4 linked regions of the Notamacropus eugenii genome follow. The protein of the gene in region 2 interacts with the protein of the main gene of each other region in a pairwise test. Links are inferred from orthologs where the notes say so. Each region holds a gene or a part of one and is shown on either strand. Other genes may lie near its edges.

What was found.
Region 1: the proteins of BEND7 (region 2) and MFAP1 interact in binary tests that used the Homo sapiens proteins (3 or more experiments, as listed by UniProt). The two-hybrid records come from large-scale screens. The link is inferred for Notamacropus eugenii from reciprocal best matches to the Homo sapiens genes BEND7 and MFAP1.
Region 3: the proteins of BEND7 (region 2) and NKAPD1 interact in binary tests that used the Homo sapiens proteins (3 or more experiments, as listed by UniProt). The two-hybrid records come from large-scale screens. The link is inferred for Notamacropus eugenii from reciprocal best matches to the Homo sapiens genes BEND7 and NKAPD1.
Region 4: the proteins of BEND7 (region 2) and EIF1AD interact in binary tests that used the Homo sapiens proteins (3 or more experiments, as listed by UniProt). The two-hybrid records come from large-scale screens. The link is inferred for Notamacropus eugenii from reciprocal best matches to the Homo sapiens genes BEND7 and EIF1AD.

What each region holds. Positions count from the first base shown.
Region 1 is NC_092878.1:54,058,406-54,066,334, forward strand, and holds the start of MFAP1 (microfibrillar-associated protein 1), read left to right. Parts: upstream 1-4,908; 5' UTR 4,909-5,080; coding exon 5,081-5,159; intron 5,160-7,929. Other genes in the region: WDR76 (WD repeat-containing protein 76), read right to left, coding at 155-181. UniProt on the Homo sapiens protein: Involved in pre-mRNA splicing as a component of the spliceosome.
Region 2 is NC_092874.1:168,216,390-168,223,872, forward strand, and holds the start of BEND7 (BEN domain-containing protein 7), read left to right. Parts: upstream 1-4,467; 5' UTR 4,468-5,017; coding exon 5,018-5,078; intron 5,079-7,483.
Region 3 is NC_092876.1:142,134,574-142,142,009, reverse strand, and holds the start of NKAPD1 (uncharacterized protein NKAPD1), read left to right. Parts: upstream 1-4,415; 5' UTR 4,416-4,683; intron 4,684-5,876; 5' UTR 5,877-5,883; coding exon 5,884-5,952; intron 5,953-7,436. Other genes in the region: PIH1D2 (PIH1 domain-containing protein 2), read right to left, coding at 836-973, 1,070-1,335, 1,629-1,874, 2,230-2,353, 3,501-3,677.
Region 4 is NC_092873.1:18,668,684-18,675,401, reverse strand, and holds EIF1AD (probable RNA-binding protein EIF1AD), read left to right. Parts: upstream 1-4,517; 5' UTR 4,518-4,653; intron 4,654-4,953; 5' UTR 4,954-4,966; coding exon 4,967-5,053; intron 5,054-5,138; coding exon 5,139-5,247; intron 5,248-5,315; coding exon 5,316-5,424; intron 5,425-5,501; coding exon 5,502-5,549; intron 5,550-5,862; coding exon 5,863-5,998; 3' UTR 5,999-6,217; downstream 6,218-6,718. Other genes in the region: BANF1 (barrier-to-autointegration factor), read right to left, coding at 3,182-3,328, 3,626-3,748; SART1 (U4/U6.U5 tri-snRNP-associated protein 1), read right to left, coding at 6,458-6,476, 6,564-6,685.

The sequences.
Region 1 (7,929 bases), on a different chromosome or scaffold from region 2:
TGTTCACCCTGGGGCTTCATTTCCTCCCCTTCCAAAAGGCTTAGGCTCACCAGGGGCCAGCACCCTCAGCCCAGCCCAGGAGATCCCGCCTACTCCCCTGCTCAGGCTTGTGCAGTCCAGCTCCCCACTTGCTCTCAACCTCCAAAGCCCGCACCTGGAGGGGCTCCCCGGACCCTGCCATTCTCTCCCAGCTCCAGCTGCCTTCCCGCCAAGAGCGCCCGCCAAGAGAAGGCAGCCCGCCAGGGCGGGGACAGAGAAGGCCGGTGCTCGGGCGGAGGAGGCCCGGCCCGGCCGGTGGGCGGGACCGGGAGGCGGAACCGGGAGGCGGAAGCTAAACCAGGCGCTGCCTGGAGAGAACCGGTGGTAGTGGTCACATCGCCTTCAGTCCCTTCGTCATGCCATGTGGGATCACTTGGCTAAGTTACCCGAGTGCTGGGCCATTTCCTTCTCCAAGACCAAGAAGGTTAAGTGACTCGCCCAGGTTCTCAGGGCTAACGGGGCTGAGCTCAGATCCGACCTCAGACAGAGCAATCTTCCGGATCCCGGTCCTGGGCTCTACACACCTGCCACTGGACAGAGCCAATGCGGAGGGGGCTAGGGCGCCCTCCGCCACGGCAAACCCTGCCTGGGCAGTGAGAGGGTGTGCGGGTCTGGTCCCGCAAAGCGACATTAAGAGCTCGGCTTGTGCACTTCGTCCCTTTGTGTCTTAGGCAATCTTACAGGACCTTGGTTTACGTCTCATCCAAATGGAAGCGCCCTCCCCTTTGTCACTGGGTTGTCACGCTTTGAAAACCTTAAAACAGCATATAAAGATGAGCCTGTCAGTGCAGAACTGCAGATTCTCAGAGTTGAAAGGGACCTCAGTGTCCTCCTGGTCCAAATGGCACCTGAGAAATGATTCCTTCTTCAACACAACCGACAAATGGCCAGTTGGCCTCTGCCTGAAAGTCTGCCCTTGGAGGAAACTCAATGGTCCAAGGCAGCCGTTACACTTTGGGGTAGCTCTAACTAAACACCAAGCTAAATTGGCCTCTGCAACATCTGCTCATCACTCCTATTTCTGCCCTCCAAAGTGAAGAATAAGACTGTTTTCTTTTAGAAATGATTGAGAATTATGAACATGGCTGTAACAACCCACTCAAAAAAGTCACAAGAACTCAAAGTGTGGCTGTCCTTTTACCTCTCCAGGTGAAACATCCTTCAACAGGCCTTCATATAACGTGATAATAATGTAATATCATTGGAACCTCAAGGGCCAGAGCCTCAACTAATCAACCAGAAGAAGCAACAGATCTAAGTAAACGCTGAGAACGCCTCCGTGTCAACAAGAGCTGACCTGAGCATTCTTCTATTAATGCCTACCAAGGACAGCGGGCCTTAAGCAGACACTACCTAGAATAAAGGGACTTTCTCTTATCTTAATATTTTATGAACATATACTGTGTTATATCATGTTAATGGTAAAGAAAACAGATATCCTGGGTTGTAATTTCAATCGACACTTTGTCAACTCTCTTATCTTATTGTATTTACAACCTATTCAATTAAGAAAATTCCTTTTCTCATACTATGGTTAAACATATATGGAGATCATAAATTCGAGAGACATAGACATGCTGAGTTGAGATTGCTCTAAAACCTGTTTAAGGCTGGTCATTCTTTTATCAGTCAGAAATCATGTTTTGGCTCTGTGTATGCATGTATCTGCTAGCTAAGGAAATAAACAATATGAATTTCTATATCACCTAGCCTGTTTGGGTCTTTTAACCAAACTTTCAAGTGGACACATGAAATCGAGGCCCTTCACCATGTTGTTCTACCTCTACTGGATCAGCTTATCAATGTCCTCCCTGAAATTATGTACAGTTTTGTGCAGTATAATGTGTTTTGATGCCCCAAAACCACAGGTAATAGTCCAGGTTTGGTCTGAGTAAGGCACAGTAAAAAAGTAATTGGCTTTTAAAAAATGTTTATAGTAAACAATTGTATTTTGGTAACAGCTCAGGTTTAGATATATTGAGTTTCAAGTGTCAATGGAAAATTAGGTAGAGGTATTCTGTAGACAGAAGGAGATACAGATCTGGACATAGAAGAGGAGTCAGATGAGTTATCTCAGTAAGTGGAAGCTGAAGTGGTGGGATTAATCAAATTGCCAAGGGAAATAGTATAGAAATGAGAGAGGGCCAAAAATATAAAAATAGGCAATACCACAAAGAGGAGAAAGAGACAGTGAAAGAAGTGGAAAAACCAAGAAAGTGGTATCCAAAAGGTGGTAGTCAACAGTGTTAATATCTAATGAGAAGAAAAAAGCTTTGATAAACCTGTTAAGCAAACAGAAAATGTGATCTAAGTATTCTTATAAATTATTTTAAAAATTGCAAGGAAAAGAAATATTTGTTCCAATAATGGAAAAAAAAAACTTTTTTTAAAAAACAAAAAAAGGGGAAGAAATTAGTAGACAAAGTTCAGTGGGTTTGAATATGCAAGAATAAAAACTTTGCACAAGAAACTAAAAAATATCTAGTCTAAAATAAAAAGAGTGAGGAAAACAGATTTGTAATGTATCTGATAAAGATTTATCTTCCAGAACATATAAAGAACTGATAGACAGCTATAAAATTAATTTACACTCCCCAATGAGGAATGGCCACAGGTCATGTAAGAGACAGCAAAAGTTAAGTTTCCACAGAAGTTATTATTAGTTGATGAAGTCAGTGAGAATTCAGATAATAAGCCTAGCTGACTGTAGGTGGACTCAACCAATCAAGAGACAGACAGTGGCCTTCAGAAAATTACAAAGTTTCAAATCTACAGTTAGCTGGAACTAGTCAGGGAAAAATGACCTAGAGTTACCAGGAGAAGGCTTTTCTTCACTGAGTTTGCTTAATGAACCTCAAGTATATAAACAGACACTCTCGGCATAATATTATCCCTCCATTTTCTGATCATGGGTCCTATGTTAAAGAATGTGTGGGAGGGGGGATCTCACCAGGGGTGCTTATGTAATGGGCATTTAGAGAAGATCATGACCTAATGGACAATGGACCAATCCGTCTCTTGATGGGATGATCTGTCCTGAGCTAACAGTATAAAGCCAATCTCACTTATGTATCTGACACTCACTCCTCCCCAAAAGAGGAAGGAGGCCCGCTTTGGCCAACGTGTTCAATTCCTCTGAACTCTGCTGCAATAAATTTCCCTTGATACTTTATTAGTGTCAACAGGTCATAAACAATTTTTGAAAAAAAATACAGGTTAAGAACTACATGAAAAGATGTTCAAAATCCCTAATGATAAAAAATGGACAAATCAAAAAACCTGGAAATGTTTTTTGTGCAGTGTGCTCTTGGGCAATTCACTTCCCCTCTAAGCCTCATGTTCCTCATTTATAAAATGAGGGAGTTCTCTTCCAGCTACAGTCATATTCCTTATAACCATTATATTGCCTGAAATGGTAAAAAAAATGATAAAACTTCAGTAGGACACTGTAGAATTCAGTAACTCTGACAAAGCAGAAAACATACATTATTTAGCCAAAAATTGCTGGGAAAACTAGAAGGCAGACTAGCAAAAATTCGTCTCAGATCTATTCCACATTACATTCCCTAAACGTCATATCTACCTTCTGATTAGTCCTGATTTTGAAGTACAGCTGAGAACGATTTCTGAAACGGGAAAAATATCCTTCTCTCCCAGTCCTCTAATCTAAACAACAGGCCAACAACAGGTGGTTTTATTTACTGGTTTGTCTGGGTCTAAAAGCGTATGTTTTATGCATGATTAAAAAACCTTCTAGAATCACAAGGTCAGCTATTGTGTATCAACAAAGCAATCAAACTCTGTGTTCAGCAGCCTTTACATTTAAAGATAGAAGATCTGGTTATAATCCAAGGCTAAAACAATTACCAGTTTTTAAACTGCCCCTACTGCCGCCCCACGGCACTCTACTGCTCACCTCCAGCTCGAGGGTACCTGGAATACCCTTTCTCATCAGCTAAGCTGAGTCCTTTATTCCAAAAGAACACAATCCATTCACAAATCTGCATTATTTACTTCTCTTAGATGCCAGAAAGCTAGATTTTCCTTCACTTCTTTGCACCCCCTTCCGGCGCTCCCCAACAACAGATGCGCAGTAACTACGGGCTTATGGACCGCAGTGCAAACGGACGGAAGGAACACAATAGGCTCCAGCTGGACCGAGAAGACGGCATTTGGGGCCCAGAGGCCTCCCCTGCCTCCCTCCAACCTATTTCTCAACACCCGGGGACCCCCTGGTGGGAATGTAGAGATTTGTGGTGAAAGGGTGGGAAGAGGCCCTGACTTTCATGGTAAAGGGGTGGGATAAAATCAGATAAAATATTAAGTGAAAGTAAAAAGCTACAACAGTCAATCAAGGAACTTGAAAAGCTGCAAACATTCAAACCAGTTAAATCCAGGAGCTCCCGGGCCACCCTCGCTCGCACCCTCCACGGAGGCTCTCACCCCCTACTAAAGGCTGCTCCTGAGCCTCAGCCCACCTTCGGGGTCCCTTCCGCCCTGGATCCTCTGATCTGGAGTGCCGGTGGCAGGGCCGAGGCTCACAACCCAGCCGTCCCTCACGCTCGCGGCCGTGGGCCAAGCCGAGGACGCAACGCCCTTCCACTGCGCAAGGGCCTACCCCACCTCTCGAACCAACGAGAAACCACCTCCCACTCCTCACACGCGTGTTCCTTTCTGACACCCCTAGTCCCACCTGAGATTTCCACTCCCTTCCTCCGAACCCAAGGGGAAAAAGGGCGAGGACACTTGGGAAAAAGCGAATTTCCCGCCCGCAGGCGCAGGCACCGCCCCGATCTGCAGGTCACGTGACTCGACGCCTGCGCACTGACAGCCCGCGCGACTCTCCTCCCCGGGCCGTCCCCCTAAGTCATCCACGATCCCACAATTCACCAATCAAGCGCTCTGTGGTGCACTTCCGGTTCCTCAGGGCTCCCGGACTCGCTGCTACATCCGGAAGAGAAGGGAGGTCGTTGTACGTTGTCTGTGTTGACTGTTCTTCGTCTCAGGTTCTGGAAAGGCAGCCGCCGCCGCTATTGCCATCATGTCGGTCCCGAGCGCCCTCATGAAACAGCCCCCCATTCATTCCACGGCTGGGGCCGTCCCCGTTCGCAATGAGAAAGGTAAGGGGCCCAAAACCTTCCCGCCGGGTTTTCTGACAGCCAGCGACCCCCCTTTTTCCCCGTGCTTCGGTGCCCTGCGACCCCCGACTCCTACCCCCCCAAGCACGCTACACCAGAGCCGGCCCCCCCAATTTCTGGCTTTCCTTCGGAGCTTCCTCCAGCCTGTCCCTCATCGTTACCACTTTGACCTGCCCTTCATCAGTCTTCTCCTGAGCCCCATTTATGGGTCATGAAGCCAACTTTACTCCCAGACCTCCTTCTAACCCCAGCCCTCTGAGTCCGCGGTCCTCACCGCAGGGACTTGCACACACCCCGTCCTCCTCCTCCCCTCGTTCTGCAGGCGGACGTTGATTGTCTGGGTCCGATCATGAGTGTATACACTTATAAAGTAGAGGAACCTTGCCCTCAGAAAGCTTACAGTGTTACTGTAAGGGGGGAGGGAGGCGGAGAAAGAGTGACAGGATGAGTTGCGTGCATAAATGCATACGTAAATATTTATAATACAAAATAAGTGTCCTAAGAACGGCGCTGTGGCTAATTAGAGAAGGCAGCAAGGGGGAGGATGAATTGAGTAATAAAGGATGGACACGTTGTGGTGTGGTCTGTAAATGAATAAACATTTATTAAGCCCCAGCTGTGTGACACACGCTGTACTAATGGGTGGGATTACAAAAAGACCAAAGCCAGCGTCTGCCTTCAACGAGGTTACAATGTAACGGGGAGACAACGCAAATAAAGAAATTGAACAAGCTATGATACCAGATAAATAGGAAATTGTTAACAGAGGAAAGGCACTGAAATTGAGAGGGGTTGGGAAAGGCTTCCTGTAGAAGGTGGAATTTAGTTGGAACTTAAGCTAGGGAAGTCGGTAGTCAGAGGGGAGGAGGGAGAACATTCCAGGCGTGGGGGACGATCAGAGAAAATGCCCAGAGCTGAGAGATGAAGTGTGTTGTTGGTGGAACTAGGAGACCAGTGTCACTAAATCAAGGAGTACTCTTTGGGGAGGAAAGTATAAAAAGACTGGAAAGAAGGAGGTAGGAGGGGGCTCGATTATGATGGGCTTTGAATGACAGAGCATTTTACATTTGATTCTGGAGGCAATAAGAAGCCACTGGAGTTTGAATATGGGGATGGGTGGCATGATTGGACTTACCAGTGGCTGAATGGAGGTCATACCTATAATAGGGAAAAATCTGAGACGGGCAGACCCACCAGCAGACTATTACAGTAATCCAGGTGTGACGTGATGCGGGCAGCAGAGTGGTGGCAGTGTCAGAGAAAAGAAGGGGACCATATTCAAGAGAAGTTGCAAAGGTGAAATTGACACAGGTCTTAGCACCAGCTTGGGTGTGGGAGTTGAGAGATAGTGAGGAGTCCAGGATGACTCCTGGATTGCTAGGTTGAAGACCAGGGAGGATGAGGTTGCTCTGTACATTTGTGGCCCGAGTGCGGAGGGGATTAAGAGTTTAGGGGGAAAGATAGAGTTCCATTTTGGACATAATTTGAGTTTAAGATGTCTACTGGACATCCATTTGGAGATGTCTGAAAGACAATTAGAGATCCAAGATTAAAGGTCAGCAGAGAAATTGGGGTAGGTAGGTAGTTTTGAGAGTCATCAGCACAGAAGTGGTAATTAAATCTATGGGAGCTGATGAGATCAACAACTGAAATGTAGAAAAGGGTCAACAAAGGAGACAGAGAAGGAGCAGTCAGATATGAGGAGGACCAGGAGAGAGTAGTACCCCCAAAACCTCGAAGAGAACATCAAGGAGGGGAAAGTGATCAACAGTGTCAGAGGCTGAAGAGAGGTCAAGGAGAATGAGGATAAAGAAAAGGCCATTGCATTTGGCAGCTAAGAACATTTGTAACTTTGGAGAGAACAAGGCAATCATGGAGCCATTAAAGGTTGGAGGACATTGAATCAATTTTGGAAAATTCATCTTAGATCAGTGTGCAAATGAATTGGAAGGGTCAAAAGCAAAAAAACAAGGAGGCCAGCTAAACAATTACAGCAGTCTAGTTAAGTGCTTACGTTGGGACTGAGCCAAGATGGTGGAGGAGAAGGACAGACCTGCTCTAGCTCTATCCCCATATCCCACAGATAAGGGATTAAACTAGGATAGAAGTTGTAGAAATGGAAATGAAGGGATGAATTCAAAAGATATTGAGGAAGGAAGAATCAAGACTAGATGTAAGGAGAGGGAAGAGTTAAAGACTACTTTAAGGTTTTAAACCAAAATGATAATAAAAATAGGAAGTCAGGTAGGGGTGCAGCTGAGGTAACGAAAAATGATTAGTTTTAGACATTGATTTTGTGGGGCTGGCAGAATGTCTAGCAGCAAGTTAGAAATGCAGAACTTTTGCTTTCACCTAATACTTCCACTTCCTCACCACCTTTTCTATCACAGCTGTGCTTTCAAAGGCCCCCGCCCATCCTAATCACCAAATCAAATGTCAGTTTTTGGTCCTCATTCTCCAAGAGCACTCTGCAACATTCAGTACTTGTTAACCAGTCCCCTCCGGTATAATAGCTCTTTCTTCCACTTACCATCAAAAATGTCACATTTCTGTTGTGATGAAATAAACTACCTCTCTGTTTCCTTTACTAATTCTTCATCTCCCTGACCATCTATTATAAACCCTCTTCTGTTCTTTCTTCAGTCTTTCATCTAATAATCTCATTCACTATTACCTCTACATAGATAATAGCCCTGAGTTCTAAACACATCTTTTTGTCTACAGAATCTCTACTTTTGTAGTAGACATCTCA
Region 2 (7,483 bases):
AAACATGAGTTAAACATAAACAGGTGTTATTTATTATTATTACATCATACTTATTCTCTATGATATTTATCTTGGTGGATATACATACGATATTTTCTCCTTCCCCCTTATTTTTCAGTTTAAAGTTCTTTTGATTAAAATCATTAGTTCTTGCCAAAACCAAAAGTACTGACATTATTTTTAAAAAGTATAGGGTTTTACACAAAGTAGTTTTTCAATAATTATTTGTTGATTTGACATGGATATTGACCTGGTCCAGAGTCTGTGGTCCACCTGTTTATAATAATGGTCCACAAATAATGCTTTTGAATAAGGTATTCCCTTCCTAAGCGATGTTCCAGTCCTGGGTCTCATGTCAGTCAAAAGATTCAAGGGAAATTCAACTGAATTGTCCAAACCATTCCATTATATTTGGCTTTTATTTTTAACTACACATATACTATTCTCTATGGTAAGTGGAATTCATCTTCCCACTTGAACTGGAAGTGTTAATTTGTTAATAGCTTCCCTAGGGTTTTGCATCTTGGTATGACAACTTCAATGATTTCATCCTAGTTTAAGTGTAATAAAACCTCATTTTATATTCGCAGGTATTAAAGTTCCTAAATGTCCTTTAGTCTGTCTGTTTCTCAGCTTTGTTTTGGTCAGAGGTTTTTAAAACCTTTAAAAGGACAAAGTTGAACACTAAGACTTGCGACTTTCAATTTAGGATGGGTCAGAGAGGAAATAGGGAGAGCAGAGGAAAGAAAGCAAAGGAAAGATGAGAATAGATTTAGTAATGTACGGATTTAGATGAAGGGTTGAAGACCTGATATGACACTCACAAACAAGACCTCCAGGAATGGTGAATTCACTACACTCAAAGGTAGTTCAATGCAATTTTTGGATAACTATAATTGTTAGGACTTTTGTCCTAGTGAACCTAAATTTTTCTCTTTGAAATTTCTATCACTCAACTGCCCTCTTGAGCAAAACATAAATTGAGAGCACCTCTTCTACACCACAGCCCTTTGAACACCTGAAGATTATGCCAAATCTTAATGACAATTCTTTTCCCACCTCTGTCAGTCTGTCTCTGTGCCTCCAGAGGCACCTTCCTCTATACCTCTCCTCTTAGAATCTTTTGTTGTTTAGTTGTTTCAGTCCTGTCCAACTCTTTGGATTTTCTTGGCAAAGTTACTGGAGTAGTTTGCCATTCCCTTCTCCAACTCATTTTACAGATGATGAAACTGACGTAAACAAGGTTAAGTGACTTGCCCAGGGTCACACAGCAGGTAAGTTTCTGAGGCTAGATTTGAACTCATGAAGATGAGTCTTCCACATTTCAAGCTCAGTGCTCTATTGCCACCTACCTGCTCTTCTTAGAATCCAGCTCCCCTCAAGGTTTTGCTCAAGTATAACCTCCTAGAAGAGGTCATTCCTAATTCAACCAGGTAGTGCTCCTCCCCAAATAACTTATTTTATATATATTTTGTATTCATTTATCTGTGTACATATTGCTTTCCCCTAGTAATGTAGAAACTTTGAATGCAGGTACAATATTTTATTTTTATATTTTCAGCACCCACCGCAGTACCTGCTACGTCGTAGGTGCCTAATAAATACTTTCTAAATTGAAACAGGAAGGATGGGGAGGATATAATAATCTCCCCTCATTCTAGACTAGAGGTTTTCAACCTTTTTTATATCATAGTCCTGTTGGCAGTCTGGTGAAGCCTAGGGACCCTTTTTCAGAATGTTTCTGAAAGCATAAAATACAAAGAAACCAATTATATTGAAATACAGTTACAAAATAAGACAAGTTCAGAGACTTCAAGTTGAGAACCTCTGTTTTATACACTAATCTTTTCTTAATGCAATTTCAGATTCCATGAGCTTTTTTTGGGGGTGCTGTAAATTCATATTGAACTGAAAGTCCACTAAACGCCCAGCTCATTTTTATATGCATTATCTAGTCATATCTCTCCCTTCCTGTACTTGTAAAGGCAATTTTTATTCCAAGTATAGAACTTCAGATTTATCTCAACTATGAGAGGTTCTCTCATTTAAACACCTCACCAAAATATGAGTATATGATACCTACAGAATTCTTCTTCTGTATAAATTTAATAGTCCTGTCAAAAATGAACTAAGGAGGGGCAGCTAAGTGGTGAAGTGGATAGAGCACCAGTGCTGGAGTCATGAAGAACTGAGTTCAAATATGACCTCAGACTTGATACTTAGTAGCTGTGTGACCTTGGGCAAGTCACTTAACCCAGATTACCTCATAAAACCAAAAAAAAAAAAAAAAGAATTAAGATTAGTTTGGTGGGAATTGTTATTTATTAACCCAGAGTGGCTGATATTGATCACTGCTGTACTTCCTAAGTATTCACAAAACATGGCAGAATCTTGCTAAGGTAGCAAGCATGTCCTGGCAACAGGTTGCCTGCTTGCCAAAAATCAGCCTACTTAAGTGCAGAGACAGTGATTACCAGTAGATGTACCACCAGCTACGGGACTAGCAATTCTTCTGCTGTGGAATTCTTCTGCTATGGTAATCCACTAAAGCAGGGAAGGAAGGAACTGAATGAAACATGGGCAACTGTCAATCATTGTACAGCAGATATCAAACACATCAACATTCCCGAGTATCTAGAGGAGAACTAGATGAAAACATAATTGGGTAGTAGTAAACAAAATAAAAATACAACAGAACATAACATCAAACGGGGTTTCCTAAATAAATATGCAACCAGTAGGGATCTCTTTTTAAATATGCTTCTGTATGAGTTTGACACCTCTTCCCCGCTACAGTATTGTCTCCTTGGGTGGGGTCCATGGTGAAATATGGTGCTACTATTCATCACCATGCCCTCCCATCCTCACTAGCCTTTAAGGCGACTAGGGATTTGTTATACCTGCTGTCCCAAAAGACCGAGAGCCGGCCTTTTGGGACACCCTGTTCTGTAACCCAACTATTCCTCCACCTAAATGCCTCTTACAAAATCATCATAGATCTAGAAGGCACCTTTGACAGAAGAGAAAATTGTGTCCAAGGAGGTTGTGACTTTTCCCCACCAACCACCCTCTCCCCTTTCCTGTCTCCTTTCGTGTGGTCTTTTTTTCTTTAGGTTGTAAACTCACTGAAGGCAAGGATTGTCTTTTTTATTGTGTCTGCATGCCTGGCACATAGTAGGTACTTAATAAATGTTTATTGTATTTATTGGATTGGGATTAAGTGACAGAAATGAAATTTGACTCCAGTTTCAATGATTTTAACCACTAATACCATTGTGGCTCTCTCTCTAGTGCTGCACATCCCAAGAGGTATACAATTATTTTTTCCCTCTCTCCCAGGGGATGTTATGAAGAAGAAACAAACAGTGTCCTTGATGTGCTCTGTGCTCCTTAGAGATGCCCATAATAAGTCTAATGAAATGCTTATTGTTTATTCCCTTTATTTTGATATCATTACGCCAGTCTTTTGCATCTGCCTTAGGGATTTGGTTCTTCACCAGCAACGGAGACAGCTAATGCAGAACCTGAGGGATGACAAGTTTTCTCAGGACGACCCTCAATCCACATGTGTTCTCCAAATTCTGGGGCCACCCAGACCAAGAGGTCTGTAGTCAGTATTCGGGGCTCAGTGTCAATGCTCTCTACCCTTTTCAAGACCGTTGGTTCATTTCATATGTAGTCATTTGTGGACAGGGGAGATAACCTCTAACAGCTGCTTAAAATAAGGGCTCTCTGGTTCAGGAATGTGAGAGTAGGAGGCGGTTTGGGGGTGGCGGGGCATACCAGCCTTCCCAGGACTGAAGCAGACAAGAGGGGAGGACCCCCCCAAGACTTGGAGTCTCTAAGGAAAAGGAAAGAACCAGCAGGATCCTGGCCGTGAGGGGGAGGCTCCCCATGGAGCTTCCAGGCCGGCGGCGAGGGAGGGGGGGAGGTTGTATGAGCTGAGCAGCGCTCTCCAAAGCCGGGGGGAGGAAGACTCCCCCTGCCCCGAGCGAGCCCCGGGCCTTGGGCGGGCGGCGGCAACGCGCGCGGGGCAGGGAGGTGACGGGGAGGGCGCGAGCGCGGGCTTAGAGCGCGAGCGCGCGGCGGCCGCGGCTCGCGGGAAGCTGCTCGGTCCGTCCGTCGGTCCGTGGGTCCGTCTGCCCGTGCGGCCTCCGCCTCCTCGGGATGGCGTGGGGCCGGGGGCCGAGCCCGAGGAGCGGCCGGCGGGCTCGGCTGGCTCCCTCAGCTCGGCCCCCAGGGGGATGGCGGAGGCGGGGAGGGGGGTGGCCCGGGGCGCCGGTGCGAGGGCCGGCTCCCCCCAGCAGGTGGCACCGGGGTCCCAGGCAGCGCGGGCGCTCCCTCCTCCGCTCCTTCCCCTCCTTCCCTCCGCCCGCCCCGGCGGGGGGGGGTGGGGGGGTGGCGAGCGCCTCTGACCCGGCTCCCCCGGCTCCGCCGCCGCCACCTCCTCCCGGCCCGACCCGACCTGCTGCCGCCTCCCTGGCCGCGCATCGCCGCCCTCGCGCCGCCGCCGCCGCCTCGCGGGGAAGGAGCAGGAAAAAGCGCCCGGCGCCTGCCCGCCCCTTTCCCAGCCCTCTGCTCCCGGGCCGGCCCCGAGCCAGCCCCGGGCCAAGTCCGGCCCCAGCCGAAAGTTGTGGCGGAGGGCGGCGGGCCCGGGCTCGGCAGCTTCCTCGCCTTGTCTCCGGGCCGGGGGCCCGGGGTGCGGGGCTGGGGGGCGAGAGCAAAGTGGCAACTTCTCCGAGGGAAGCCTCCAGCCCCGCCCACGCCCGGGTCCGAAATCGCCCGGGGGGCCGGATCGATTTTGTTCCTTTACATTATTCTTACTGTTGTCGAGACACGGACCTGGGTCCTCCCGGCGGCTGCTGCTGCTGCGGCCGGGTGACCAGAGCCTCCGCCGCCGCCTCCTCCACCTCCTCCTCCTCCTCCTCTCCCTCCCCCCTGTTCCTCCCTCTCTCTGTCTCTCCTTCTCTCTCTCTCCGCTGCCACATTCCCTTCCTCCTTCCTTCTCCCCAGCACCATGGAGTTCTCCGAGAGGAAAAGAAGCAGGAAATCCCAAAGCTTCAAACTGGTGAACCAAGGTAAGAAGAGAGGGACGTGGGGGCGGGGGGGCGGGCAGAGGGGGGGGGGAGAGAGAGGGAGATAGAGAAGGAGAGAGAGAGAGAGAGAGAGAGAGAGAGAGAGAGAGAGAGAGAGAGAGAGAGAGAGAGAGAGAGAGAGAGAGGTGGGGACCGGCTAGGGGGCTTCTCTCGGGTGGGTGCCAGAGACTCGGAGAAGGGACTTGACCAGGGTGTAAACATCCCCCCAGCCACCAGCGCTCTCCTATCCCCTCTCGCCCTCTCCCTTGTCATTTCCCTCATCCTCTGTTATTTGTCAATGCAATTATGTATTTTCAAGTCAGCAACTGTATCTTTAAAAAGGGTTATTGTTATTATTTTTAAAAGAACCCGCTCGACAGCGGGGGCGTTTTGGTGTGTGTGGGGGCAACGTTGATGCTTGGCGATGAGACCACTGTACACAAAATAAAGTTGTATGGTTAAGGGGGGGAGTCAGGATGTTATTGAACGTAAACAGCCCAAAAAGCGAATCAGGAAATTAGCAAACAATGACACTTAGGGAGCAAAAAACCTTCTTGTGCTTTCAACTACTGTGGCCAGGTTTGGGAAGTGGGGTGTTTGCTTTTCAATTTTAGAGGTGTACAGAAGTCTGGACGAATGATTCTTGTCCCTAAGACCAAATTCTTCCCCCCTCCCCCCCACCTCCCTTGTCGGTCCCTCCCCCCCACATGAAAGGTTTTGGTGTGATTTTTCCTTCTTTCATTTCGGAGGAAAAACAATGCCATTGCACAAGGAAAAATTGTTGCTATCTAACTTGTTGGGTTGTGTGATTGGTTTAGGAAAACGTGTTTAAAAAGAATTATGCATCTAGTGAAAATCAATTTTTAAAAATCCCATCAAATTTCTCAATAATTTAACAGGTGTATATCTCAACTGCTTGGGTTTAGGCTATTCAGAGGGGAGAGGGTAGTAGTTGTCCAGTTGAGGATGAGTTACTTGTTAGGATCTTATTTTTTTCTAATTTGGCTTAGAAAAGACTGAGAAGAATTAAAGCCCAAGGCAAAAGAAGTAAGATATATCTGTTAACCAACTTGTGACTTGTTAGATTCGAAGCAGGTGATTAGTACATTGTAATGTCACATTTCTCTTTTGAGGGTTCAGAACACCTATTTTCCTTAAGTCTCTTTTTTGAAACAACCTTAAATTTGAACAAACACAAAAACTTAGAACCGGTCTGTTTTTCCTCCGATGTTTTATGGACTATTGGGGGTGGGAGCAAACCAACTGTTTTAAAAATTCTAAAAAGTCATCATATAGACTAATGAAAAGTAGAGGGCTATTTGCAAATAACAGGGTTTTTTTCCTAATTAAACCCCAGCTAAACTAAATGTTAGTGTGGAGCAAATAAAGCCTACTTTTAGTTTGTTTGAAAATTCATTTGATTATATGTTTTCTTCTCAATTAAACTGATTTAAATAGTTAAGCAAGTGGATAGAATTTGGTGAAAGGGGTTTTCAGTCACTATACCTATTCAGAATATTAGCTTTTTGATTCTTTGTAACTTTGCTTCACTGAGTTGATTGCTCAGTTACTTGAACTTTTAAAAGTTTTTTCATATATAACCTGCCATTTTGGGGGGCTTTATTCATTCAAGAATATATGTTACTTCTGTTTTTTCTAACTTTAGATAACTTATTACCATATCTTGAAAATGAGAGTAGTTGTGTAGGTGTTGGTCTGTAATGTCCAAGGGCACCCATAAGTCATGAATGTAAAAAGAAATCTACCTTTAAGGCAGATAGTTAGGTGATCCCAATTTGTAGGAACTTTATCAAAACCGCATGAGCCTCTACAGAGAGGCTAGTGAAATTCTGTATTTTTAAGTTGGACTGACATAGGAAGTTTATAACAAATTCTGAGTCTGACTCTTTGCTATGCAGGTGCATTTTCAGAAAATGAGCCACTGCATATTAAAGTGCAGTAGCTGTATGCAAAAGATACCCTTATGTGAAAGATGAGACCCTGGCTTCCATATTCAAATTTCACTCTACTTAAAACAACAAATGAGTATTTTTCATATGAGCTTCCTTTTAGACTTTCAATTCCCAGTATTTTTCAGTATTAATTGTTAAAATCAAGGGTGTTGTCACTAACTATTGGGAATGCTCTTAATATGTCCTATACAAATTTAGTTGTATAGTTCAATGTAAAAGACTTCTATGACCTGGGATGCAGCACATTTTCCCTATTGGTTATGAATTTACTTGCTGAGGTTTAGAAAAAACATTTGAACTTTCATGCTGACATACTTGTCAGTGAAACCTGACATATATCAGGCAAAGTTATTCTCAAAAATCTGTGAATATTTATTTTGTACAGTTTCAAAAATACTGATAAAATTCTTGGGTGCTGCTATAGTGTTTGTATTC
Region 3 (7,436 bases), on a different chromosome or scaffold from region 2:
GTCCTTTTTGGAAGGAGGGCACTCAGGAGAGATCAAGAAAACTTCAAGTACAAGATGGTACTTGAGCTGAGTGTTGAAAGAAAAAATCATTTGTGTATATTCTATCTCCACACCAGACTGAGAACTAGGCCTGTTATTTAATCTTGGCCTGTAAAAAGCAATTAATGTTGAATTCATTAAACAAGCTACTGTGCAAAAGATAGTATGTTGGGCACAGAGGGGAAGACAAAGACATGGTCTTAGGCCTCAAAGAGCCTAACTGTAGAAATAACTAAAATAACTGTACCATAACATGTGATCATACAGTTCTACTGACCAGGGTCCACCTTCTCCCTGAACATATTAAAAGGGTAGAGCAAGATTTTCTTGGAGGTAGGTTATTCCCTCTTCCAATGCAACTTCACTGGCTGAACTATGTGCTTGCCCCTTCCCTGCCCCATAACTGAATTGGCTTGAGGTACAGTGATAGCTAGTTATGTTCTTTATGCAGTAAATTTAACTGATGCCTTAAAAGAATAAACTGGAAATCTCCCACTAACACAAAAAAGCAACTTGAAAACATTTTATTTCCCCAACAATTATTTGTACTTGTGATTGCTATTAATATCAAAGGAAACATGCTATACAATAGCATCTAAGATTTCAGTTGTCTAAGATAAAGGCAAGGCCATTTGTGGGGAAAGGGACAACACAGTAGAGGAAATAGGTAAAAATCTGAAGATAGATTTTAATGGTATTTAATATCACCCCTTCTTACCTATGATGCGAAAGGCTTTAATGCCTTCACAGGAGCTCAGTGGTAGAACAAAAAAAACCTAACATTCATGCTGCACTTTTACTGCAGTACTGGCATGGTGATGATTAATGTGGCTTTCCCTCTGACAAATTTTGCTGTAGTTGTCTCAGTGTCAACCAATTCTGGAAGATCTACCTGTAATCGGTACTTCTCAGAGACCTCAATCACTAAGTCATCCTAAGAGAGAATCATATCAATTGAATAGATTTGTTTTTGCAATCTAGAAATAGAATCTATTCCTGATATGACATTGTTATCTCTTTCTCATCTTACCTTAGAAACACTAAGGTCACAGTCACAGACAGAACTAAGACCAGGAAGTTCAACTTTCATCTCAATTCTCAGTGATCTCCCATTCTGATCCTTCACAGATGTCAGCTTATAATTTGGAGTCTTCAGCTCAACTTGGAGCTCACTACTGGAAATTTCCTCAATCAGACACCCTTGTTTGCTTGGAATATGGTCCTTTGGCAGTAAAAGTTGTGGAATGTCATCTTGGTTATTCATAGTACAGTTTCTTAACTGCTCAAGCGTTAGTTCTTGATGTAAAAAAGGGATATATTTCAGGTTACAGTAATTAAAGTGCAAGAAAGTACTATAAAACACTACTGCATAGAGACTACATATTAATATTTTCTGTTGTATTTTTGTTCAACATTTCCCAATTACATTTTAATCTGTAGCTTGTGTGCCTCAAATTAGACATCTCTGGGTTATAGTAATCTGATCTTTTTCATTTGTTCTTGCTTCAGAAATAAGATTTAAGTTTAATTTTCATTTGTATTGATAAGGGAATTTACATAATAATAGTTTTCACTAAAAATTTCCTTACCTTTCTTCATTTTCTCACTTAAATCTGTTGAGTCAGTTTGGATTCCCATCAAATTCTTTTTCATCTTTTGGAAGCTTCCTTTCTTCCAGGTTTTTGTAATGTGATAGGAATGAGAAAGAGTAAACTGATGTTGCTCCTCAATGCATTTCATTGTCAAGTGAATCAGGTGATCCATTTCCATTTCATTATCTTTTGCTTCCTTGAGAACAGCAGGGTTATAGGCAACATTGATAACTGTGTATGATTCTAGGTAGTTTAAACAGTGTGGAATTAACCGTTATTTCTGTAATGGCACCATCAGGTAACAATGTTAACCCAATAGCCTGAATTAAGCTAAGGCACCCTCAAAACAGAATTTCCATTATAGTACTACTGCACAAAAAATTCCCACTAGAACTTCTTGTTAGAATAGTAACTGCCCCACTATTTAAGAAAATTAACAGCTTATGTATATTCAGTTAACATTGGAGATAATTCTCCAGTATGCTTATTAGAAATTAAAAAATTTGTATTAGAAATACAAAAAAAAGTACACTTTTGTTGCTAAAATCTATTAGGTGTTAGCTACTTGCTAAGAAAATAGCTTTGATACTTTATATACCTGATGTCTCAGATACATCTTCTGGCTTGCCAACGCTCAAAGGTACAGGTTCTGCCTTTGACTGGGGTGCTGGGATACTCATCCATTGACATAGGTTGATGAATAATACTTTTTCTTCTGGTTTCTAGGAAATAAAACATTTTCTTACTCTTATTATTATTGTGTTCACCACTGAGGAGGCACCTGGCAACTAGCATTTTTCAACTACCTCCTAGGTATTGGTAATGCTTGGGGCTGATTCTGTGTAGCTGATTTGCATTATGTGCTCCTATTATTAATGAGAATGGAGAGAGGACAAATTGAGTTGGCTTAGAAGCCCTTAGAAAATTTGAGTGTGATCAACTGAGGAAGGAAACCTCACTTTTCCCTTTAGATTGGAAGTACTACAAATATGGAGTGAAGGATCTCTAAATTAAGTCAGAATATTTTCACTCTTTTCCCTAAATTGGGTAAGAAAAAAGTTCTAGAAGGGGTACTCAATTTTTTGAAGAGAATCCTTTTTCTTTGAATTTCTGTAATGTGGGTACAGAAGCAGATGAGAACTTCAAAGTGTAGCCAAGAAAAGTTCATGGTCAGAGGAGAGCTGAGTTATGAGTGCAAAGCAGAAGACAGCAGCATAGAAAGAACTCCAGTGCATAACACCACAGGCACAGTGCAAGAGAATCCTAGCTTTTGTGCAAGTTGGCAAGGCAGAAAAGAGATTGGACTTGAATTCATTAAGAGAGGGTTCAAACCCTGTCTCTGACTCTTCTGAGCTGCATGTGGGAAAGTTAGGGTTAGCCTAGCCCCACTGAGCTTCAATTTCCTTGTCTGTAAAATGGGAATGTCAGGTTGGCTTTGAGGCCTTGGACCAATGGAGATGTTCAGACTGGATATTGTACTTATACATATTTCAGGTAGGAGATAAGATGATTTCTAAGGTCCCTTCCAAGTCTAGTATTCTGTAATTCTTTGGTTCTGTGTCTTGTTCCAAGTGAGAATAAAGTATCTGGTTTCTTCTCCATGTGCAAGAACCAAGCCTACTTATGGTGGTTCTTATTTTATTTTTCAGATAGTTAATGGAGCCTGACTTGGATAAAAAGACCCACATGGAGAAAATCCCATGGATGCACCTGCTTTTTTTCCATTCAATTAGCTGGGAAACTCCTGACCATACCATCTCTGGTACCACCACTCAGTTTCTTATTCTGGAGCTACAGTTCCCTTGGAATACTGCTCTGCGGTAGAAACAAAGATGTGGGCCAGAACCATTCCGTCTGAAATGTACGAACCAAGATCTTGGTCTGCAAGGAGAGCTGGGGCTCAGGGGCAGCGCAGCGTTTCTCCCCTTCCTTCAGCTGCCCTTGAATGAATTTCTCATAACGTTCAGGGTCACTCTCCGCCAGGTCATCTAGCAGGTTCCACAGCTGAGTCACTTGGGTAAGCCAGCCTCTTGGTGAGGACTCCATGACCTGGAAGCGAGAGGGTCTCCCAGGCTGTGAAAAGACATACACCCCGCTGAGGAAAGGTCACCCCCTAGGGCTACTGCGCATCACAAAGCTGTGGGCCTTTGGACACTTCCCCGACGCGGAGATGCGCGAAATCTCCTAGGGCACTTATCAAAATGAATATTAAATAGTGCGCATGGCCATCCCCCTCGCTGCTCCCCACAGCGCCCATCTTGTCCGCTCCTAGGGCCATCTGGGACTGCCGTCTGCGACCACTTCCTTCTCTTGGTGGGGAAGGGGGAGGGCTCCGCCCCGCCCCCGCCCGGGCTCTGCCTCCGGCCCCTCCATGCGGGGGTGTCCTCACCCGGAGGCCCCCCCCACCGAGCCCAAGGCCGGGGGGCGTTCACTCCCCAGCATCTCCACGCCCGCCCCCCGGGAGTCAGAGCGGTCTCCGGCTCCTGCCTCAGTTTCCCTACACCCGCCCCCAGTCTCCTCATTTCTCCGTACGCTTTCTCCTCAAGATTCCCTGGGAGGGGGGAAGGGAAGGGGGCGTGAAGCTCCTGACCCACCGCCTCGGCCACCTGCCGGGGAAACAAGCAGCGTGCTCCGACCGAGCGACTCGCCAGTCCGAACGCCGGCGCCCCCGCGGCCGCGGTTTCCAGGGCAACCTACCGCGGTGCGACGCCTAACTGGGCTCGGAACCTCCCAGCGTCCCCGCACCCTTCGCGCGCAGTTCCGCGGCCAACTTTGGCCCACACCAGGTTGAGAGCCTGTCCGGTCAGCCCCGGTCTGGCTTCTCCGGGGTGGCCGCCGTCACGCCGATTCCCCTAGAGCGATACTTTGTCTCCCTTGGCCCAGGGAGAGTCCCGAGAACTCTCGTGGGAGGGGCGGGCGGGAGGGGTACCGTGCTTCGGAAGGGGAAGTATTTCTCTGGACACTCGGGAAGCACTTCCTACTTCCGTCGAGGACTGGAAGGTGGCCCAAGGCTCTTCGCTCCCCTGTCTGCCCCGGGACGCCGGAGCTCACGGTAGGGGGGCGGGGGTGGGCGCGGGGCTGCAGGGCCCGGATCCCGGCCACTGAGCCGCGGTGTCCCAGCCGCTTTTCGACGGAGGGACTCAAAGCGTCCTACGAACCTCGGCGGAGTTTGGGAGGGCAGGAAAGGGCCGGAGCTCCGGTGGGGGGGGACCCCGGGTGGGCGGCGACCCTCTCCCCCCACCCCCAAGGCCTCCAGGGAGGGGCGCCCGGTCTGGTCTGGAGAGTCGGGTCGGGATCCAGGCAGCTGCGGTGGAGAGCCGGCCCCTGGGCGCCTGCGGGCCGTCTGGCCCTGACCCCATTGTGCAGACGCGCAGACTGAGGCCCGGGGGGCGAGGCGTTAAGGTCTGACGTGCGGTGGGATGGGGTCGTGAGTGGCTGGTTGGGACTCGAACCGGGCCCCGGATTCCGGAGGCTGAGCTGGCCTGGCTGCCCCTCGCACCTCGGGCACCGTGTTTCACGTGTTTTTGGAAAGTTGTGGGGCGGTGATTCTGTGTCACACTCTAATAGCTGAGTGATTTCTTGGGGGGTTTTCGGGCTGTGGTGGCGGCCTCGTGTCCTCGACGCCGTACTGTCCTTGCAAACTCTGAACTCGTCCTTTAGTGTCTTGGGCTCCGTGTGCACAATAGGCCCAGAAAATTCTGCTGGAGGGAAGGCTGGACTCCCGCTGATATGCGTAAGAGTTACTACTGACCACCTACCTACCCCCCACTCTCGCCGATCAGAGTATGTGCTGCCCAGCAAGCCCAGAGGGCAGGTCAGGAGGGGTGGTCTTGTCTTTGTCACTGATTTATTTACCTTGGACAAATAATTAAAACTTTGGAATCCAGGTTCTTGAATTGTCAGGGTTAAGGATACCTGTTCCTTATTTCATGGACTCACAATTTGTCAGAGCTGAAACCACTTTAAAGATTAAGTCAGTTTCTTCATCTGTAAAATGAGAGGGTTGGATTAGACAATATATTCAATATATTCCTTTCAATTCTAAATCCTGTGACCCTAACTTGAATTTGATCCAACCCCCTCATCTTGTAGATAAGGAAACTGAGGCCCAGAAAGGGAAAATTACTTACCCATCTCAATGAGTTGTGAGACTCAGGTGAAAGGGATGTGATATATTTGAAAAATATACAAATGTAATGTATGTAGGAGATGTTATTCTTATGATGGTGTTTCTACACATTTCAGATTAAAAATGTCCCGGATCCCTCTGGGGAAAGTCCTTCTGAGAAATGTCATTCGGCACACAGATGCTCACAATAAGGTAAGAGGACAGCAGTGCATTCCCTGGCAGGGCTTCCTTTAGGACTCCTCAATTCATAGTATGTTGTTTTATAATGTAGAAGGCTGTTAAAAGAGGGATATAAGCAACAGCAGAGGAATATGACTGTGTGACTAGCCGGAGAGTAGGAGTGACTCTGGCATCATGCCAGCCCTGATCCTCTTGGGGGCTGAATTTGTGCCTTCCTGTAAAGAAACTACTTTAACAGTGACACTCAGGCATTTATTTTAGTACCTCCTCCTCCCTTCTCTATCAGCAAAGCTTTCATTATCATGAGCCCACCATTGGTGAAGGCAGAAGTAGGCTGCCTCTGACACCAGGGCTCTCTCTTTCTCCAGCACTTACTATTATTCCCTTCTCCACCACCAGATGTGGAGAACACTATCTCCTCAGCCCTCTCTAACAAGTGCCTGCACTCCAGGTCTCTGCCATTATGATCATATCCAGAACCAGAACCTTCAACACCAAGCCAGACCAGGAGTCATGTGCATGCTTTATATGCAGGGTATCTTCTGGGTGTGCATCATTGCCCAACATGTTGGGATGAAGCAAAGAAACTGGTGCTGATTGTGATTACAGTCAGTCCCCTTCAAATCTCATCACCAGGTATTTGCCTCCTCAGCCTCCTTACAGGCTTAGCCTTTTCTTCCATGATTTTTGAGAGAATAAGATCTAGAGTTCTCTTCCATAATCAGAGGACCATAGTGGAACAAAGCCCTAGTCATTTGTGTTCCCCCAACCTATCGCTAGCAAAACTCCCTTAACTTCTGCTAAATTGAGAAGCCCTTTGTCTTCTACCACTTATTTCACTCTCATCACTTTCGGGCTCAGCCCAGCCTCTCCCCAATTCCTGTTCTTCTCTGCCCTTCTCTTCCGTACAATCATTAGCCAACTTCCCTTCATTCCAGACTTCTCCTTTCACTCCCTTCCCATCTTCTTGCACTCAGAGAAACTGAGCTTCTTCTGGAAGACAGCATCCCTAGTAACCTTCTCCAGGACTGATGCTCTTTCTCCTGTGCCCCTCACTATACCAGGCCACGAGGAGGGTAGGCACACTCTTTTTCTTGACCACTTTGTCTTTCTGTCATCATCATTCAGTAGGTTCTTCTTCTTTCTGGGTCACTCCCTCCACAGGATACATTGTGAGGCAGCAGCAGCACAGTACAATGGAAAAAATACTGGATTTTAGTCAGCAGGTCTGAATTCAACTCTGCTATCCCTCCCATCTTACCCTGGGAAATCACTTTACTTCTACCCCTTCATCTCTTCATTTGTAAAATGATGGGGTGAGGCTTGTAGCCTCTGAGATTTTATGATTCTGTGATCTCTAATAGAGACCTAATTAAGTTCTCTTCCAACTTTAAAGCTAGGATCCTGAATTCTAAAGATGTTTCAGATCTTTGTTGCAGTTGTCTGCTGGTCTCCAATTATTCTTTCCCATTTTTTTAAGTTGTCACTCCATCTAG
Region 4 (6,718 bases), on a different chromosome or scaffold from region 2:
GACACCAAAATATCTATAGCCACCCTTTTTGTGGTAGCAAAGAACTGGAGACAGAGTAGGTGCCCATCAGTTGGAGAATGGCTGAGTAAATGCTGGTACATGATTATAATTACAGCCTATTACTATGCTGCAAGGACATTGAAAACGGAAGCATGGGGAAATTTATATGAACAAGTGCAGTTGTTGTGTTTGTCCTTCCTTCTGGGAGAGGACCATGACATCAACATGACATGACCTGCAGTTGATTTTGATTTGAGTGAGGGAGGGCTGTGCAAGGTCACCAGCCTCATTTCTCCTCCAGAGTCATCAGGACTGGAGATGGCCCAGGAGGCAATGGGAGACCCTGGCCCTTTCAGGATAAGGTCCTATCACATTCTCACTTTGAGTGAGATACAGCCATTCAATGAATAGACTTCTTTAAGTGGTTGGTCAAGGGATGGCCCCTTTAACTAAAAAAAAGCATCACACGGGGAGGTCAGACCCCCCACAAAACAGCACATGGGGAGGTCAGACCCCCCCACAAAACAGCACACAGGGAGGTCAGACCCCCCACAAAACACCACACAGGGAGGCCAGACCCTCCACAAAACAGCACATGGGGAGGTCAGACCCCCCCCACAAAACACCACACTGGGAGGACATACCCCCCACAAAACACCACACGGGGAGGCCAGACCCCCCACAAAACACCACACGGGGAGGACATACCCCCCACATTCCCCGCCCGGGCCAATTCTGCCCTGTCCTTTTAGCCTCACACTGTAAACAGTGTTCTTTTCTGCATCTATTCAGAGCCATGATTTGGATTTTAGGGTTTTTTCAGCATTTTTGTAGGGTTTTGTTGATGACTGCTCTTTGCAGTAGCACTGCTTTGATTGTCTTGTGAAGTTACCTTGTCAGGAAAGGAAAAGGGGGAAGTTCTAGGTTCTGAATCAGCAGGGAAGGGCTTGCTGAGCCCCTCACAACACGTATTACACCTTTCACTGGGCCCAACAATCAAGGGCCACATTCCTGCCATCTGGGGCTCTAGTAACTTACTCAGGGTATGGGGGGATGTGGTTTGGTCAGCTCCCTGTCAATCTCCCCAGGTTCAACAGAGAAGGGACCTTGTCCAGCTACACCCAGAGTTCTAGATGGCACCAGTCAAAAGTATGCCAGCAACTGGTAGCAGGGTGGGAGGGGGCGATGAAAGTGTCAGGCTGGGCTAAGCAAGGGAGCAGAGTGGGTGCTCCGTGTCAGTGATGGAGCCCTGCCCCATCCTCACCTCCCAGTGAGCACGCCCTACCTGGGATTTCTGTAGGCTCAGCATCAGATAACACCTTCCCCTTGGGCATGGGACAGCAAGCTGCTGGCTCACCCATTGCCACAAGTCTCCCCAGGACTCTCTTTTGTTCTGTCATCCTTTGGCCAGTCTCACCCTTTCCAAGGGTATGCTCTGGGGTGCCAACATCACAAATGGCCACAGGATCCCACCAAGAGAATACAGAGATGACCTGTCATTGCTCCTTCTTGCCTCATATGAACCTAACTCCAGCCAGTAACTGGGAAGATAAACAGATATTTGCCTCCTGGGCCCCTACTATGTGTCTGGCCACCTGTGCTTGCAACCTCAAGAAAGGATCAGTCCTGACACTTTGCTCAATCCCTCTAACATAGTCACGGAACACGACCACACATGAAGCAGAGAACAATATAGAGCAGTGTCTAACAAACACAAAAACTATGGTGCAAGCATATGTTGTAGGTTACAGAAAGGTGAAAACTCAGTGTGGGCTGGAGTAGTCAGGGAAGGCTTCCTGGAGGTGGTGGGAGTCAGGATGACCTCATTTAACCACAGGGACATTCCTCCCTCACCATGGAACATAAAAAACCAACCTCCTCTTTCCTCAATCATAGAATCCTAGGTACACTGGAAGGAGACACCCTAATTGACAGAGGATGAGGAAGCTGTAGTCCAGAGAGCGAATTGCTTAAAGACATACTGGTCACAACAGAGATAGAATTTAAACACAGGACCTTTGCTTCCAAGCCACCTAAGCACAGTGAAGAGAGATGAGGCTGGAGGGGGCGCCATAACAGATCAAACTTGTTCATAAACTTCTCTCTAGACAGTACATTTATCACTTTCTTTGGGCAGATGATGTAAAGCAGTTTTTTCCCTTGTTGCAACCGCCAGCTTCTCCCTGCACTGGCTCCTCCTAGGCAGCGGGGCTAGTTCACTCTCTGGGTACTCTCCCAAATAGCCAGGTGTTTTCTTGTGCCTGGAATGTTGTGGTTAACACAGGAATGGTGTTCCTTGCTCCCTGCAGTCATTCCTAGGCTTCACCAGAAGCATCCCTGGGAATCGAAGGTGGACAGCTGGTCTTCCACCCCCATCTAACCCAACACAGGAAACCCGATCAGCCGTCCCTGCAACCTGGCAGATGGCTCCCCTCAGCAGGTGATCAATGAGCCACATCCTGGACCAGGCCCAATACTAGCCTCTGGTGACATGCCCTTCTTTGATACTCACTAGACTACTCTGCCTATACCGAGGCACTCAGGCACAGCAGCTGAAACCTCAGCCCTAGGAGGAAGTCACAAAAAACCTTTCCCCCACATAACTAAGGAGCTAGGACACCAACATATTTGCCCAAGTCCCAAGACACCTACTCCAATGACCTGAAGATAGTCATGGGATGAGTTTACAGTTTGGGTTAGTATCTGATAAGAGCGGTGTTCTTGAAGGAAGTGGCTGCTTCCTGATCCAACATTCCCCCTTGTCCCAATTCCTGTTCACGTAACTAAGAACAGATGTCAAGGCTGATGACTTTATTGGTTTTAAAAAACTCTTTACAATGGCAGTGAACATCCCTCTACCAAAGTTACCCAAATGGCATAAAAGAGATCAAAAGTGGGGGGTTAGGGGGTAGGGAAGCCACTCCAGAGACCCACCCAGGAAAGCTAATAACTATCGCCACTGAAATTTACAGGACCAGGAGGCATGCTGAGGTGTGGACAGGGAGGCTTGAGTCAAAATAGTGGTGGAGAGGGGAAGGTGTCCCAGGTGGGGGCGGCAGCAAAAATCTTTCCTTCTGTTGGGAGGTGGGAAGGGAGAGAGGGGCAGGATTTCCCACTTGGGGGTGCTAACTGTGAAGACCCATCGGAGGGGGTAAGGGGGGCCGGCCCCCAGGCACGGGGCTCACAAGAAGGCGTCACACCATTCTCGAAGGCAGCCAAAGCAATCCCGAGCCTGCTTGGCATTGGCCCCACAGGTGTCTTTCAGCCACTCTCGGAAGAGGTCTTCGTCTTTTTTCAGCACCAGGAACTGGCCCAGAACCACGTAGGCCTGAAAGAGACACAGAGCCAGAAGGCTGTGGGCAGGCCACCTGGGAACGAGCTGGGGCCGAGTCACCGCCCACCCCTCCCCTTCTAAGGGGCTGATAGCGCCCCCGGGCCCAGCTGTGCTCGCGGGATCCGCCCCCATCTCCCAGGAATGAATGCGCAGGCCGGCACACACAGCCCGGGGCTCCCGGGGGTCACCCGCCCTTCCTTTCCTCCTCCGGGGCCCCACAGCCACGCCAGGGGTCGGCGCCGATCCCCACCCTGCCTCAGTCTTCCCTCTGGTCCCGCGAGGGCCCCGGACCTTATCGAAGCCCTTGTCCTCGAGCTTCTTGCCCAGCACTTCTCCGATGCCCGCCAGGCTCCCCACGGGCTTCTCCCCCATGGGCTCGGCCACGAAGTCCCGGTGCTTTTGGGAGGTCGTCATGGCTCCTCACCACAGACCTGGGGCGGACCACAGGGAAAGCACACGCTCGCCTCCGCCCCAAGCCAGGGGAGCTCCAGGCACCGCGCCCGCGCAAGCCCCGCCCCCTCCGCACGTGGCCGCCAGCCCCAACCCATGGCCCCGCCCCCTCGCGGGCCCCGCCCCCTCAGCCCCCGCGTCTGCCTCCCCGCGTTCCCCGGCGGGAGGGGGGAAGGGTCATCACAGCCGCCCGGGTCTCCCCCGACTCGCCCCAACCCTGCCCACGACCCTGGCGCTCGTAAGCCGCGCGCACGCCCACCGGCTCCGGCTCCGGCTTCTGTAACGGTCACACTACCACTTAACCGGCCTCTCCCGCCGCTGCCTCAATACCGCAAGGCGCGTGCCGGCTTCCGCTTCCAGGTTGTCAGAGTCGTTTCCGGGTCAAGGGCAATTTGAAGGGAGGCGGGAAGGGGGGGCGGGGCCTAAGGCAATGAGGCGGAACCGGGGAAAGGGGAGGGGAAGGGAGGGGAGGGGAAGGGAGGGAGGCGAGGACCAGGCGCATGCGCGTCTGCGGCGGAAGCGTGCCTCAGGATGGTTCCCAGGGAGACGGCGCCGCTCTGTTCTCTCTTCTCTATGGCCAGATCTGGGGCCGCACTCCTCCCGGCGCGGGGCGTGGAGTGGAGGGTGCTCACTACACGCGTGGCGCTTGCGGAGGCTCCCCACTCAGCCCAAGACGGGGCCGGCAGCGGCAGAGGCGGAACTAAAGTGCCGGGGTCTGCGGTGCCTAGCAAGGGGAAGATTTAGCCGGGAACACCGAGCCCTCTTTTCCCCCTCCCCCTCCCGAAGCGAGCACCGGAAGCGTGGTCTCCGGAAGTTCTCGGCTCGGGCTGGCGGTCTCGGCGGAGGCTGCGGCAGTGGCCAGCGGGAAGGTATGGTGGCAGAGGGCCCTGTGGAGGCGGCGGGGCCCAGCCCCGCCGGCTGTTTCCCGATCTTAGGTAGCAAGGGTTTCCGGCGGAGGCTGGAGACGGCTCGTCACCCCTCCCCCCATCAGTGTCTGGGGCCGGCCCGCGGGACCCAGACCCCCGTCACCTCCCCCTCGACCATCCCAGAGGCGTCGGGTTAAGCCCGGGCTGCACCCGGTCTCCGAGACCCTCAAGAAACCCCTAGCCAGCTAGTGGGATCCCGCCCCGGCGGGTCACTGACTCCTGTGGGGGTCCTGACCTCCACAGACTCGGAACCAGCATGTCTCAGACCACCAAGCGGAAGCACGTGGTGCAGGAGGTGCTAGGGGAGCACATGGTGCCGTCAGACCAGCAGCAGATCGTGAGGGTGAGCCCCGGCCCCCCGCCCCCCTCCCGGGATCTCCCGGCCGCTGCACCCCCTCCCCCAACACGCTCTCCTCCGCCCCGGGCAGGTCTTGGGGACCCCTGGCAACAACCTGCACGAGGTGGAGACGGCGCAGGGGCAGCGCTTCCTGGTCAGCATGCCCTCCAAGTACCGCAAGAACATCTGGATCAAGAGAGGTAAGGGGGCGGGGGCAGAGGCCCGGCCCTGCCCGGCTGCCAGGCCTCACCCGCGGCCTCTCCTGCAGGAGACTTTCTCATCGTGGACCCCATCGAGGAGGGCGAGAAGGTGAAGGCCGAGATCTCCTTCGTCCTCTGCAAGGACCACGTCCGCTCCCTACAGAAGGAGGGGCTCTGGTAGGGCCCGGGGTCCTGGGGGGAGGGCTCACCTGGCCCGGCTCCTCTCCGCCCCCTAAATCCTTTCCCTTATTTAGGCCTGAAGCCTTCTCAGAGGTGGCAGAGAAACAAAACAGCAGAAGCAGGTGAGTGTCTCGGCTGTCCCCTCTCCTCCCTCCAGCACAGGCTGCTAGCAGGCCAGCACCCTCTTTGGGGTGGACTTGTCTGTCCAGCTGCTTGCGAATGCTAACTAGGGAGGCAGCCCCAAGGCTGTCCATGCCCAGCTGCTTACTTGGGGCTAGCTTGCCCCAGTCTCACGTGTAAATGGGACTGATGTTTCTCAGGTTGGGGGGGATCCTGAGCTGTTCCAACTTCTGCTTCCTCGGCTTGGAATCTGGAAGTGCTTCTGTCCTGGGTATGGCTTCCAGGAGCCTCTCTCACTCATCCTCCTCCCTGCAGACCGCCTCAGCCAGAACTTCCAGGAGAAGCCCAGTCTTCAGAAGACGACAGCTCTGCAGATGACTCGGACCTTTTTGTCAACACCAATCGGGTGCAGTACCAGGAGAGCGAGGAGGAGAGTGAGGAAGAGGCCTGAGATTGCAGCTTCCTTTCCAGCCGGAAGCCTAGTCCTATACCTTGACCCCACCTCCATGGACAGAAATGGGCTTGCTCTGTGCATCCACCCCCTGGCTGGGGATGAGGCAGGGCTCCCATCTGGACTCCTACTCTTCTCTGTAAGAGATTAAACCCCTGGTGGGTTGAGAGCTGTGGTTGACTTGTACCAGTGTGCCTAGTAAAGCAATTCCGACTTTGACTTCTCACTCCGGTGCAAAGGAGGGACCAAAAACTTGGGTGGGGGGCTGGCTACAGTGCTAACCAGCCACTGGGGGCATTTCAGAATGGGCTCCAGGACAGGCAATACCTAGTTCCACCACCCAACTCTCTGTCCAGCTCTGACTCAAGGGAGGAAAATGGAATCATAACTTAAACAAGGGAGGAAAAAATAAGGAGGGAACTTTATTTAATATTAAAGGACTGAGGATACGAGACATCTTCACTTTGTGATGGTGTTTCTGTGGAAAGAAGAGACAAGAGATGAGGGAGGGAAACAGACACAAGTGCCTCTCCCTCCCCTGTCCCAAGGCCCATCCCCTGCTCACGCATTCATGCTCTTGCCGCTGCCACTAAGTACGATGTACGGGGTCTTCTGGGCTTTCTGTTTTTCCTGGAGCAAGGCCACTGTGCCCAGGGGTGTGTCACTGGAGCTCATCTTTTTCAAGAGCTGTAACAAGGGGACCCCTTATGCTCAGTGGCC